Linked DNA regions of Oryctolagus cuniculus. The protein of the gene in region 1 interacts with the protein of each later gene in a pairwise test. Links are inferred from orthologs where the notes say so. Each region holds a gene or a part of one and is shown on either strand. Other genes may lie near its edges. The genes, in order: SALL2, ZMIZ2 and CEP76.

What was found.
Region 2: the proteins of SALL2 (region 1) and ZMIZ2 interact in binary tests that used the Homo sapiens proteins (3 or more experiments, as listed by UniProt). The two-hybrid records come from large-scale screens. The link is inferred for Oryctolagus cuniculus from reciprocal best matches to the Homo sapiens genes SALL2 and ZMIZ2.
Region 3: the proteins of SALL2 (region 1) and CEP76 interact in binary tests that used the Homo sapiens proteins (3 or more experiments, as listed by UniProt). The two-hybrid records come from large-scale screens. The link is inferred for Oryctolagus cuniculus from reciprocal best matches to the Homo sapiens genes SALL2 and CEP76.

Annotation. Positions count from the first base shown.
Region 1 is NC_091443.1:53,414,234-53,418,658, reverse strand, and holds the start of SALL2 (sal-like protein 2), read right to left. Parts: upstream 2,933-4,425; 5' UTR 2,628-2,932; coding exon 2,561-2,627; intron 2,182-2,560; coding exon 1-2,181. UniProt on the Homo sapiens protein: Probable transcription factor that plays a role in eye development before, during, and after optic fissure closure.
Region 2 is NC_091447.1:52,037,133-52,040,776, forward strand, and holds part of ZMIZ2 (zinc finger MIZ domain-containing protein 2), read left to right. Parts: intron 1-109; coding exon 110-254; intron 255-333; coding exon 334-544; intron 545-1,176; coding exon 1,177-1,282; intron 1,283-1,438; coding exon 1,439-1,596; intron 1,597-2,314; coding exon 2,315-2,382; intron 2,383-3,644. UniProt on the Homo sapiens protein: Increases ligand-dependent transcriptional activity of AR and other nuclear hormone receptors.
Region 3 is NC_091441.1:69,536,917-69,540,560, reverse strand, and holds part of CEP76 (centrosomal protein of 76 kDa), read left to right. Parts: intron 1-3,142; coding exon 3,143-3,360; intron 3,361-3,644. UniProt on the Homo sapiens protein: Centrosomal protein involved in regulation of centriole duplication. Required to limit centriole duplication to once per cell cycle by preventing centriole reduplication.

The DNA.
Region 1 (4,425 bases):
CTGCCCCAGAAACTGCCGACTGCTCAGAGCCATTCTCTTGAGCAGCCCCGCCCCCTTCAGGGAGTGTAGCACCACCATTGGGGATCTGGCCCCCCAGGTGCATCCGAACGTGCTGCTGCAAGGTGACAGCGTTGGTGAACTTCTTCTGACAGATGGGGCAGGAGTTCTGGGCCCGGGCGGCTGGACTGGCCTTGTGGCCCACGAAATGCGCACGCAGATTGCCCCGGGTGGAGAAGGCTCTGCCACATACTTTGCATTTGAAGGGCCGCTCACCTCCGTGTTGGCCATAATGCAGGCGCAGGGCGCGGGGACAGCTCAGCACCCGGAGGCAGATGACACACTGGTTAGGTCCGGAAGAGACTGAGGATGAAGGGGCAGGCGCAGAGGTGGTGGGGGCTCCTGAGGCAGTGGAGGCCACTGCCACGGCTCCTTGTCTGTCGATCTTCTCTACCAGCTGCTGCAGCTTCGATGTCTCAGAGGGCGAGGCCCCCAAGGGCTCTAGCACATAGGGGAAAGGGAAGCTGCCAGTGGACTTGAAGTGGTTGGTAAGCAGCGCCCAGCTCGGGAGCGAAGTCACCAGCTTACTCAGCTGCATTCGGGTGGCTGTGCCACTCTCTGCCACCCCACTGATGGCCGAGCCCTCACTCCCCGGGGGGGTGTTCTCATCAACTTTACTTTTGGGCTCCACTGCTTTCATGAGCACGAACTTATTGAAGGCAGGGAGTCCAGGTGCGGCCGCTGTGCCCGCGCCGGTGGAGAGCAGTGTGAGGCTCTCGGTGGCACTGAGTGCTGTGGTGGAAGCCACCAGGGGCTTGCGTTCAACACCTCCACCAGGCGTGGCTGCCTCCTCCTCAGCCTTCTCTGGGGGCACAGACATTCCATAGGGCAGGCCGCTGCTGGTGATGACGTAGTCTAGGTGCTCGGGCACTGGGTGTGGGTTCATCTGCACGTGTGGATACTTCTCCCGATGCCGGTGGAAATGCACCTTGAGGTTGCCGCGGGTGGTAAAGCGGTTGCCACAGACATTGCACTTATAGGGCCGCTCCCCGGTGTGCGAACGGAGGTGGATCTGCAGGGCGCTATCGCTGCCAAAGACTTTGGCGCAGAAGCGGCATTTGTGCCTGCCACCAGGCTTCTCCAAGGGCCCCATCACTTCCCCGTAGCCCAGCTCACCACTGCCGTTCTTTGGCTTCAGGAGCCCAGGCGAGGCAGCAGCATCAAGGCCTCGGGCGGCCCCAAGACACTGAGCCGCCAGGAGTCCCGTGGTGCTTGGGAACGCCAGGTGAGGAGAGGCCATCAGCTGCTCTGCACTGCCAGGCAGGGCTGGGGAGGGGGCGGGCGCGGGTTTGTGGCTTCGCCCCACCCCTCCAGCAGAGAAGGGGTGCTGTGACCCCAGCGGATGGTAAAGGTGGAAGAAAGCCTGCTTGGGCGTTTCTGCCCCGGAGGAGGAGGAGGAGGAAGAGGAGGAGGAGGTGGAAGAAGAGGAAGGTGCCAGTGTCTTGCCAGTTTGGGCAGGCTTGATGGGGCTGAAGAGGGGTAGCAGGGGCTTGGCAGAGGAGGCAGTTCCGGTCGCGGGCAGCTCTGAGGGACTGGCGGGGGAGCCCACCGTCTGGCCTAAGGAGCCCAGCAGCAGCACCTGCCGGCAGATTTGCTCCGTCATCTGCATCTGATGGATCTGCCGCTGCTGCAGCACCCGCAGCTCCTCCAGGATCAGAGGGATGTTCAAGTGGCCAGTGCCCACTCCTGGGGGTGGAGGGGGCGGTGGAGGAGGTGGGGGTGCAGGGGTGGATTCTGGAGGTAAGGGGGTTGCTCCTAGCTTGGGACTAGCCAAGATGAGGCCCCCACCTCCCCCAGCCGCTGTACCTGAGGCAGCGACCAGGAAATGCCCAGAAGAGTCCTCTCCTCTCCTCTCTGTGCCCCAGGTGGGATCCGTGGGCCCAGAGGACACAGAATCCGGGGGGTTGCTGGGCTCGGTGTCCATGACTTGGGGGCTACTGTGGCTCTCAGGTCGGGGTTCCAAGGAGGCTGAAGAGTTGTTGGGGTTCTCCTGTCCCCCCATTATCACCATCACAGGAGGGTCGGTAGAGCAGGCGTTCTGGTGGGCGAGGAATTCAGCTGGGTCAGTGAACTGTGCGCAGCACTTGGCACAGACCTGGGGGTGGTCCTCCTCGCTAGCATCACCTGGGGAGAAGACAGAGAGCCTGGGTGGTGAGGTTGAGTGGAGCATTCAGAGGCGGCTCTGGTTAATAAGAGCCCGGGAACCACTAGCTGGGGGTGGGGAAATGAGCTCACCATCAGGCCTTGCAGAAGGCTCCAGCTCAGTCCTGACCCCCGCGACAGGACAGGAGACACTCCAGCCTGCGGCTGCGGGGCGTGCGCACGCTACTCCCCTCCACTCCCAAAGCCCCCCCCCCCCTTTCCTGGTCCCCTGGCCAGCGCAATGGGTTTGAGGAAGGGGCCTAAGCAGAGAACCATGCAGTTGATCGCGCCCGCGTCCCCTCCGCCCCCAGCCCGCCCCCAGCCCTGCCCCGGCCCCGGCCCCAGCCCGGCCCTACCGCACCTCCGAGCTCCGCCGGCTCCCCGCAGGGACCCCCGAGACAGGAGCTCCTCCCGGCTTCGTGCGCCATGGTTGTGGGGGACGTGCGGGGTCGGGAGGGGTGGGAGACAATAGGTATCGGGATTGGGGGAGGCGCCGCTGGCCGCCGGGGCTGCGACTGCCTCTGCACCCAGCGGCCCAGACTGCGGAGACGGAGATCGGCGGTGGCGGGGGCAGGGAGCAGCGGCGGAGGGGGAGGGGAGCGGGGAGGAGGGGAGGAGCTGGAGCGAGAAAGCTGGGAGAGGGGAGATGGAGGGAGGAGAGCTTGCCGGGAGGAGCGGCTGCCGAGGGAGGCGGGGGCTGCGGTAGGCGGGAGTGGGGAGCGCGGGACGGGTGGGGGCGGACGCCCAGCACTACGAGGGTTTCCGGAGGCTGCGTGACAGGTGCGGGGAGGCTCAGTGTGGACCCACCTTTCTCAGCCCTCTGCCAGCTCCCCCCATCTCCAGATGTCTTTGCCCACCCCACCCCCTAAGCTCAGGGGACACAGTGGGAAACGAAGCCCTGCGCAGCAGAGCAAGGCAATGGGCTTCTCTTATTTTTCTTTGGATAAAAGATCCGCTGAGCTTGGAAAACGTGGATTCCAGAGGGGGGGCGTGGCCTGATCTCTTCAGAGGCCTGAGGGCCACAGCGGGAGGAGGAGCCCAGGACACCCACTCCTCACCAGCGCGACCCCCGCCCCCCGCCCAAATAAAACAAAACAAAACAAAAAACCTCCCAACTTTTGTCAGGTCTTCCTCATCCTACTCCCTCTACGTCCCTCTGCACAAGAGAAGTTTCTCAGGGTAGGCAGCTGCAAGGTAGGATTTCCAAGGAACTCATTTCAGGAGTCGTCTCTGAGGAACACTAAGCTCCTTTACTGCCCGCCCCTCCTCCTGCAGAATAATAGAATGCAAGCCACTGCGCAGGTCGCCGGCCACAGCGCATTTGGGGTTGGCGCTTGTTGAAGAAGCCATCTCCTCCGTGGGTCCCTCTTCCCTTGCAGTCTGGCTCGCCTTCACTACTGGGGGCGGCGGGTCTGGGAGATGCCAGCCTCCCGAGGCTTGCGCGGGCCCACCGGCTGTAACTGGGGGGAGGGGAGCTCGCTCGAAACAATGGGGGAAACGCAGCAGAGGCAGCCTGGCCACCTCGGTGTCCTTAGCCCCTTTGAGCCCCAACCTAGCGCGAAGGGGCACCTCCTTCCCTTCAGAGAGGAAAAGAGGGCAATGATGCCTCCTGAGCCGGGTACTCTGCATTCCCTTTCCACCTTGAAGTGATTCTTAAAGGGTCTCTCGCTTCAGAAAATATTTTGCCTTCCATGCAGGAGGTGACCTTGGTTTTGTAGTTTACCCTCATTGTTCCAGTCCCAGTCCTGTCCTAGCCTGTCTGGTAAACTGAGGCATGGTATTACCATCAAGTGGCAATATGGCAGCTGCACTATTTTCTTCAGAGAAATATTTAGGGTACAAGAAAATTTAAAAATCTTTTTTAAGGGGAGAGCATTTGGTGCAGTTTGGTATGCCAGCATCCCATATGCGAGTGCCTGTGCCTGGTTGGGTCCTGGCTACTCTCCTTCCAATCCAGCTTCCTGCTAATGCAGGTCCTGGGACTCAGCAGGTGATGGCTCGAGTACTTGGGTCCCTACCACCTACATGGAAGACCCAGATGGAGTTCAAGGCTTCCAGCATCAACCTGTCCCACCCTGGCTGTTGTGGTCATTTGGGGAGTGAACCAGCAGATGGAAAATCTGTCTCTCTGACTTTCAAATAAAAAAAAGAAAGTAAATTAAAAAAAAAAAAACTTGACAAATAATATGGGACTTGTTAAAATTGGGGGAATCTTGAATATTATTA
Region 2 (3,644 bases), on another chromosome or scaffold:
TGCGGGCTGTGTTGCCTGCCATCGTTCAGGGGACGGCGGGCCAGGTGACCGAGCCAGGACAGGGCAGGAGGGGCCAAGGCGCCGCAGCTCACGCGGGGGCTGCCTCCAGGTGGCGGCCCCTGCGACGAGCTGCGGCTGACTTTCCCGGTGCGGGACGGGGTGGTGCTGGAGCCCTTCCGCCTGCAGCACAACCTGGCAGTGAGCAACCACGCCTTCCAGCTGCGGGACTCGGTCTACAAGACGCTCATGCTGAGGTGAGACCCCTACCCCACCTGCACGGCCCGCCCCGCGCCCGTCCGCGCTCAGCACCGGCCCTCCGCCCATCCCACGCAGGCCCGACCTGGAGCTGCAGTTCAAGTGCTACCACCACGAGGACCGGCAGATGAACACCAACTGGCCGGCCTCGGTGCAGGTCAGCGTCAACGCCACGCCCCTCAGCATCGAGCGTGGCGACAACAAGACCTCGCACAAGCCGCTCTACCTGAAGCACGTGTGCCAGCCGGGCCGCAACACCATCCAGATCACCGTCACCGCCTGCTGCTGCGTGCGTGCGGGCCCCGGGGCTCCAGCCTGGCCCCCCCTCCCGTTACCGCCCTGCGGTTTCCCTCTGAGTCGTTTTCCTTTAAGGAAAGAGCGCTGGCTCCCCACACCCTGTCTTCTGCTTAGACTGCACGTATCAGATTCCATGCTCTTAGCTGTGAGAAACCTCGCGCGGTTCCAAGTCCCCGGCTGAGGACTTGCAGCACGTAGGTCAGGTCCTGGGCAGAGCTGGGCTGGGCCGGGCCGGGCCGGGCCTGGAGCCCGCAGCCTGGCTGCTCCCTGCTAAGGGACTCCGGAGCCAGCACGGGTAACAGGATGCTGTAGGCTGGGGGTGTCCGGGGGGCTCTGGGTGCTTGTGTTTCAACAGAGAGATGAGCACTGGGCAGTGCTTGGACGTCAAGTGCAGGCAGCACAGCACAGGTGTGCTTAGGGAGGGGCGTGGCTAGCAGCACGGGTTGCTGGGCTCACGGCGGGAGGCGGCAGCGCCCTCCCCGTGCCTCCTGCTCCAAGGAGGACGGGGCCCAGCTGCCCAGGAGCATGGCTGGCCCGGTCTGCCCCAGACCCTTGGCTCTCCGCATCCTAGATGCCCTGCTCGCCTCCCAGTCCCCCTGACGGCGTTTTCCGGTCGTGTTGCAGTCCCACCTCTTCGTGCTGCAGCTGGTGCACCGGCCGGCCGTGCGCTCCGTGCTGCAGGGCCTCCTCAAGAAACGCCTTCTGCCCGCGGAGCACTGCATCACCAAGAGTGAGCGCCGCCACCTGCCCCGGCCCCGGCCCCGGCCCCGGCCGAGCGCTGCTGCCCCTGGGCAGTGTCCCCGCCGCGTGAGGCCGTCTCCCGGGCATGGGTCAGTGGCGCCGCGGCAGGGACCGCCGACTCACGTCCTTTCCCCGTTCCTGTCAGTAAAGCGCAACTTCAGCAGTGGCACCATCCCGGGCACCCCTGGGCCCAACGGGGAGGACGGCGTGGAGCAGACGGCCATCAAGGTGTCCCTGAAGTGCCCCATCACCTTCCGCAGGATCCAGCTCCCCGCCCGGGGCCACGACTGTCGCCACATACAGGTGGGTGCTCCCAGCTTCGCCAGTTGATGATTCCTTTTTAAAGGTTTATTTGCAAGAGCGTTAGAGGGAGAAATAGGGGCCGGCGCCGCGGCTCACTAGGCTAATCCTCCGCCTAGCGGCGCCGGCACACCGGGTTCTAGTCCCGGTCGGGGCGCCGGATTCTGTCCCGGTTGCCCCTCTTCCAGGCCAGCCCTCTGCTGTGGCCAGGGAGTGCAGTGGAGGATGGCCCAGGTGCTTGGGCCCTGCACCCCATGGGAGACCAGGAAAAGCACCTGGCTCCTGGCTCCTGCCATCGGATCAGCGCGGTGCGCCGGCTGCAGCGCGCCGGCCGCGGCGGCCATTGGAGGGTGAACCAACGGCAAAGGAAGACCTTTCTCTCTGTCTCTCTCTCTCACTGTCCACTCTGCCTGTCAAAAAAAAAAAAAAAAAAAAAAAGAGGGAGAAATAGGGAGATCTTGTGTGTGCTGGCTCACTCCCTAAATGGCCACCACAGCCAGGAGCCAGCAACTCCATCTGGGTTTCTCACATGAGTGGCAGGGCCTGAAGCACTCGGGCAGGTGAGGGACGCCGGCGTTCTGTGTGGGCTCTGGTCCATGTCCCAGTGGCTGCTCCAGTTCCCATCCAGCTCCCTGTTAACGCACAGGGAAAGCAGCGGGGGATGGCCGGCCTGAGTGTCTGGGCCCGTGATGAAAGATGGCCTCTTGCTCATTTTCCACAGTGCTTCGACCTGGAGTCGTACCTGCAGCTCAACTGTGAGCGGGGGACCTGGAGGTGCCCCGTATGCAAGTGAGTCTCCGAGGCGTGCTGTATGGCGGGGAGGGCTCCCCACTTCTTCAGACTTCTGGGGGTGAGACTGCCAGCAGTGTGACCAAATGTGTAAGCCTGGGGACGTCTGTGCTGGTGTCAACAGCACAGCCTAGGATGGTGTGGCTCAGGGCAGAAACCCTATACAGGGTCACCCCTCGTAGCAACGCCTGACGCAGGGTTCCCTCACAGCGTCACCTTAGGCAGGCCGCTACAGAGTCACAATCAACATAGAGTCTGTCACCTCAGACACTCACAAATGATGACCTCGTGTGTCATGTCACCTCACACAGGGCCACCTCACACAGGGTCACCTCAGTCACCACACCCAGGACCACCTCACACAGGACCACCTCACAGTGTCACCTCAGTCACAGCACAGGGTCACCTCAGTCACCACACACAGGGCCACCTCACACAGGACCACCTCACAGTGTCACCTCAGTCACAGCACAAGGTCACCTCAGTCACCACACACAGGGCCACCTCACAGCGTCACCTTAGGTAGGCCGCTATAGAGTCACTGCGTGTGTCACCTCAGTCAACTCACAGTCTGTCACCTCAGACACTCACAAATGATGACCTCGTGTGTCAGTCACCTCATACAGGGTCACCTCACACTGTCACTTCAGTCACCTCACACAGGGCCTCCTCAGTCACCTCACAGGGTCACCCCACCCTGTGTCACCTCAGTCACCTCACACTATGTCACCTCAGTCACCTCACAGGGTCACCCCACCTTGTGTCACCTCAGTCACCTCACACAGGGCCACCTCAGTCACCTTCACAGGGTCACCTCAGTCACCTCACAGGGTCGCCCCGCACTGTGCCACCTCAGTCACCTCACAGGGACACCCCGCACTGTGTCACCTCAGTCACCTCACACAACGTCACCTCAGTCACCACACACTGTGTCACCTCAGTCACCTCACAGGGCCACCTCAGTCACCTCACAGGGTCACCCCACACTCTGTCACCTCAGTCACCTCACAGGGTCACCTCACACAGGGCCACCTCAGTCACCTCACACAACGTCACCTCAGTCACCACACACTGTGTCACCTCAGTCACCTCACAGGGCCACCTCAGTCACCTCACAGGGTCACCCCACACTCTGTCACCTCAGTCACCTCACAGGGTCACCTCACACAGGGCCACCTCAGTCACCTCACAGGGTCACCCCGCACTGTGTCACCTCACAGGGTCACCCCGCACTGTGTCACCTCAGTCACCTCACAGGGACA
Region 3 (3,644 bases), on another chromosome or scaffold:
TTAAATGTTATTCTGTACCCTAGTTATATTATCATTTTGAGTTGTACTCTTTTTTTTTTAACTTTTATTTAATGAATATAAATTTCCAAAGTACATCTTATGGATTACAGTGGCTCCCCCTCCCATAACTTCCCTCCCACCTGCAACCCTCTCCTTTCCCTCTTCCTCTCCACTTCCATTCACATCAAGATTCATTTTCAATTCTCTTTATGTACAGAAGATCAGTTTAGCTTTTTTTTTTTTTTTTTTTTTTTGACAGGCAGAGTGGACAGTGAGAGAGAGAGAGAGAGAGAAAGGTTTTCCTTTGCCGTTGGTTTACCCTCCAATGGCCGTCGCGGCCGGCGCGCTGCAGCCAGCGCACCGCGCTGATCCGGTGGCAGGAGCCAGGAGCCAGGTGCTTTTCCTGGTCTCCCATGGGGTGCAGGGCCCAAGCACTTGGGCCATCCTCCACTGCACTCCCGGGCCACAGCAGAGAGCTGGCCTGGAAGAGGGGCAACCGGGACAGAATCCGGCGCCCCAACCGGGACTAGAACCCGGTGTGCCGGCGCCGCTAGGCAGAGGATTAGCCTAGTGAGCCGCGGCGCCGGCCCAGTTTAGCATATATTAAGTAAAGATTTCAACAGTTTGCACCCACATAGAAACACAAAGTGAAAAATACTGTTTGAGTACTAGCTATAGCATTAAATCACAATGTACAGCACATTAAGGACAGAGATCCTACATGAGGAGTAAGTGCAGAGTGACTCTTGATGTTGACTTAACAAATTGACACTCTTGTTTATGGCATCAGTAATCACCCTAGGCTCTTGTCATGAGTTGCCAAGGCTATGGAAGCCTTTTGAGTTCACCGATTCTGTTCATATTTAGACAAGGTCATAGTCAAAGTGGAAGTTCTCTCCTCCCTTCAGAGAAAGGTACCTCCTTCTTTGATGACCTGTTCTTTCCACTGGGATCTCACTCATGGAGATTTTTTTTTTTTTTTTTTTTTTGCCAGAGTGTCTTGGCTTTCCGTGCCTGAAATAGTCTCATGGGCTTTTCAGCCAGATCCACATGCCTTAAGGGCTGATTCTGAGGCCAGAGTGCTGTTTAGGACATCTGCCATTCTATGGGTCTGTTGTGTATCTCGCTTCCCATGTTGGATCGTTCTCTCCCTTTTTTATTCTATCAGCTAGTATTTGCAGACACTAGTCTTGTTTATGTGATCCCTTTGGCTCTTAGTCCTATCATTATGATCAGTTGTGAACAGAAATTGATCACTGGGACTAGTGAGATGGCATTGGTACATGCCACCTTGATGGGATTGAATTGGAATCCCCTGGTATGTTTCCAACTCTACTGTTTGGGGTAAGTCAGCTTGAGCATGTCCCGAATTGCACATCTCTTCCCTCTCTTATTTCCACTCTTATATTTAACAGTGATCACTTTATTATTTATTTGAGAGAGAGTGAGTTACAGAGAGAGAGAGAGAAGTCTTCCATCTGCTGGTTCACTCCCCAAATGGCCACAACGGCCATAGCTGAGCCAATCTGAAACCAAGAACTAGGAGGTTCTTTCAGGTCTCCCACGTGGGTGCAGGGGCCCAAGCACTTGGGCCATCTTCCACTGCTTTCCCAGGCCCTAGCAGAGAGCTGGATCGGAAGAGGAACAGCTGGGGCTCGAACTGGCATCCTTATGGGATGCCAGCACTGCAGGTTGAGGCTTAGCCCACTACGCCCCAGCATTGGCCCTGCCATTGTCTTACAGAGTAAATGCTCAATAAATATTTGAGTTTAATTATATGTGCAGTTAATTTGACTTTTCTCTCCTATAGTTCAGTTTATGGTAGGAGCAAATTAAGCAGATTCAATTTTACTAACTCTTGAAAATTAAAAAAAAAGTGATCTAAAAATTCACTGACACTGTCTTTCATGTGGGTTTTTTTTTTTTTTTTTTTTTTTTTAGATTGATTTGTTTATTGGAAAGACAGTGGCAGAGAGAGAAGAGAGTGAGATAGTGAGAGAGATTTTCCATATGCTGGTTTATACCCCAGCTGCCTTCCACAGCTGGAGGTTAAGTCTCCCCTGTGGGTGGCAGGAACCCAAGTACTTAATCCTTCATTGCTGCCTCCCAGGGTTCATTAGCATGCAGCTGAATCAGAAGTGCACAGTTGCAAAGACTCAGAACCAGACACTCAGATATGGGATGCTGGCGTACCAAGTAGCAGCTTAACCTATGGTGCCACAATGGCTGCCTCCATACTATACAGGAAATGAACCTTTCATGTCACATCACTATATTGAATGTTTTTTGATTATGTTTCTGAGAAGTGAAATCTGGAAATTTATAGTTCCCTTTACTTTTATTTCTGTGCATCCCTATCATAATTAATAGTTTAAAAATTATGAGGGACAAGTGCTGTGGTGTAGCAGGTAAAGCCACCACCTGCAATATTGGTTCTAGTCCTAGCTGCTCCTCTTCCGATCCAGCTCTCTGCTATGGCCTGGGAAAGCAATAGAAGATGGCCCAAGTCCTTGGACCCTTGCACCCGTGTGGGATACCCAAAAGAAGCTCCTGGCTCCTGGCTTCAGATCGGCTCAGCTCCAGCCATTTTGACCATCTGGGGAGTGAACCAGCAGATGGAAGACCTCTCTCTCTCTCTACCTCTGCCTCTTTATCTCTCTGTAACTCTGCCTTTCAAATAAGTAAATAAATCTTTAAAATAATTATAACAACTTGGGGTGGGCGCTGTGGCTAAACCTCTGCCTGCGATGCCAGCATCCCATAAGGACGCCAATTTGAGTCTTGGCTACTCTTCCAATCCAGCTCTCTGCTATATATAGCCTGGGAAAGCAATAGAAGATGGCCCAAGTGCTTGGGGCCCTGCACCCATGTGGGAAACCTGGAAGAAGCTCCTGACTTTGGATTGGCAAAGCTCTGGCCATTGCTGCCATTTAGGAAGTGAACCAGTGGATGGAAGACCTCCCTCTCTGTCTCTCCCTCTCTCTGTAACTCTGCCTCTCAAGTAAATAAATAAATATTTTTAAAAATTATGACAACTTCCAAAAATCGTTTCTTGGCATATGCTAAAATATAATTTACATTTTGATTTGTTTTTGAAAATATTAATATATTTCCCATTTTCTTTTTCTCTTGATTGCTGTAGGATCTTGGCCTTACCACTGTTTGGGAAGACCAGCTTTCCTATCTTTTATCACCAGCTTTGGCTTCTTATGAATTTGAGCGTACAACAAGTATATCTGCAGGCAATGAAGAATTTCAAGATGCCATAAGGAGGGCTGTACCTGATGGTCACACATTTAAAGGGTTCCCAATACATTTTGTGTACAGGAATGCTAGGCGTGCATTTGCCACATGTCTTCGGTAAGATATTATTTATGGATTGATAAATGTTCTCGCTATAGGCATCCTAGATGTTTACTTAGGAATGACATCAGAATCACATGGGGGAGCTGTTAAAATGACTTAGCTTTCTTGTGCAGATTTGATCCATGAGTTCTGGAAAGTATCTACTTAGTTTGGGCCAATTTTCCTAGTGATTTTGCAAAATCTCAGTTGAGAATGTCTAATTTTGTCTAGTGTAATTTTTTACACTTAACACCTATAGACTTTGAGGAAATAGTTTATAATTTGAATAGATCCACTAA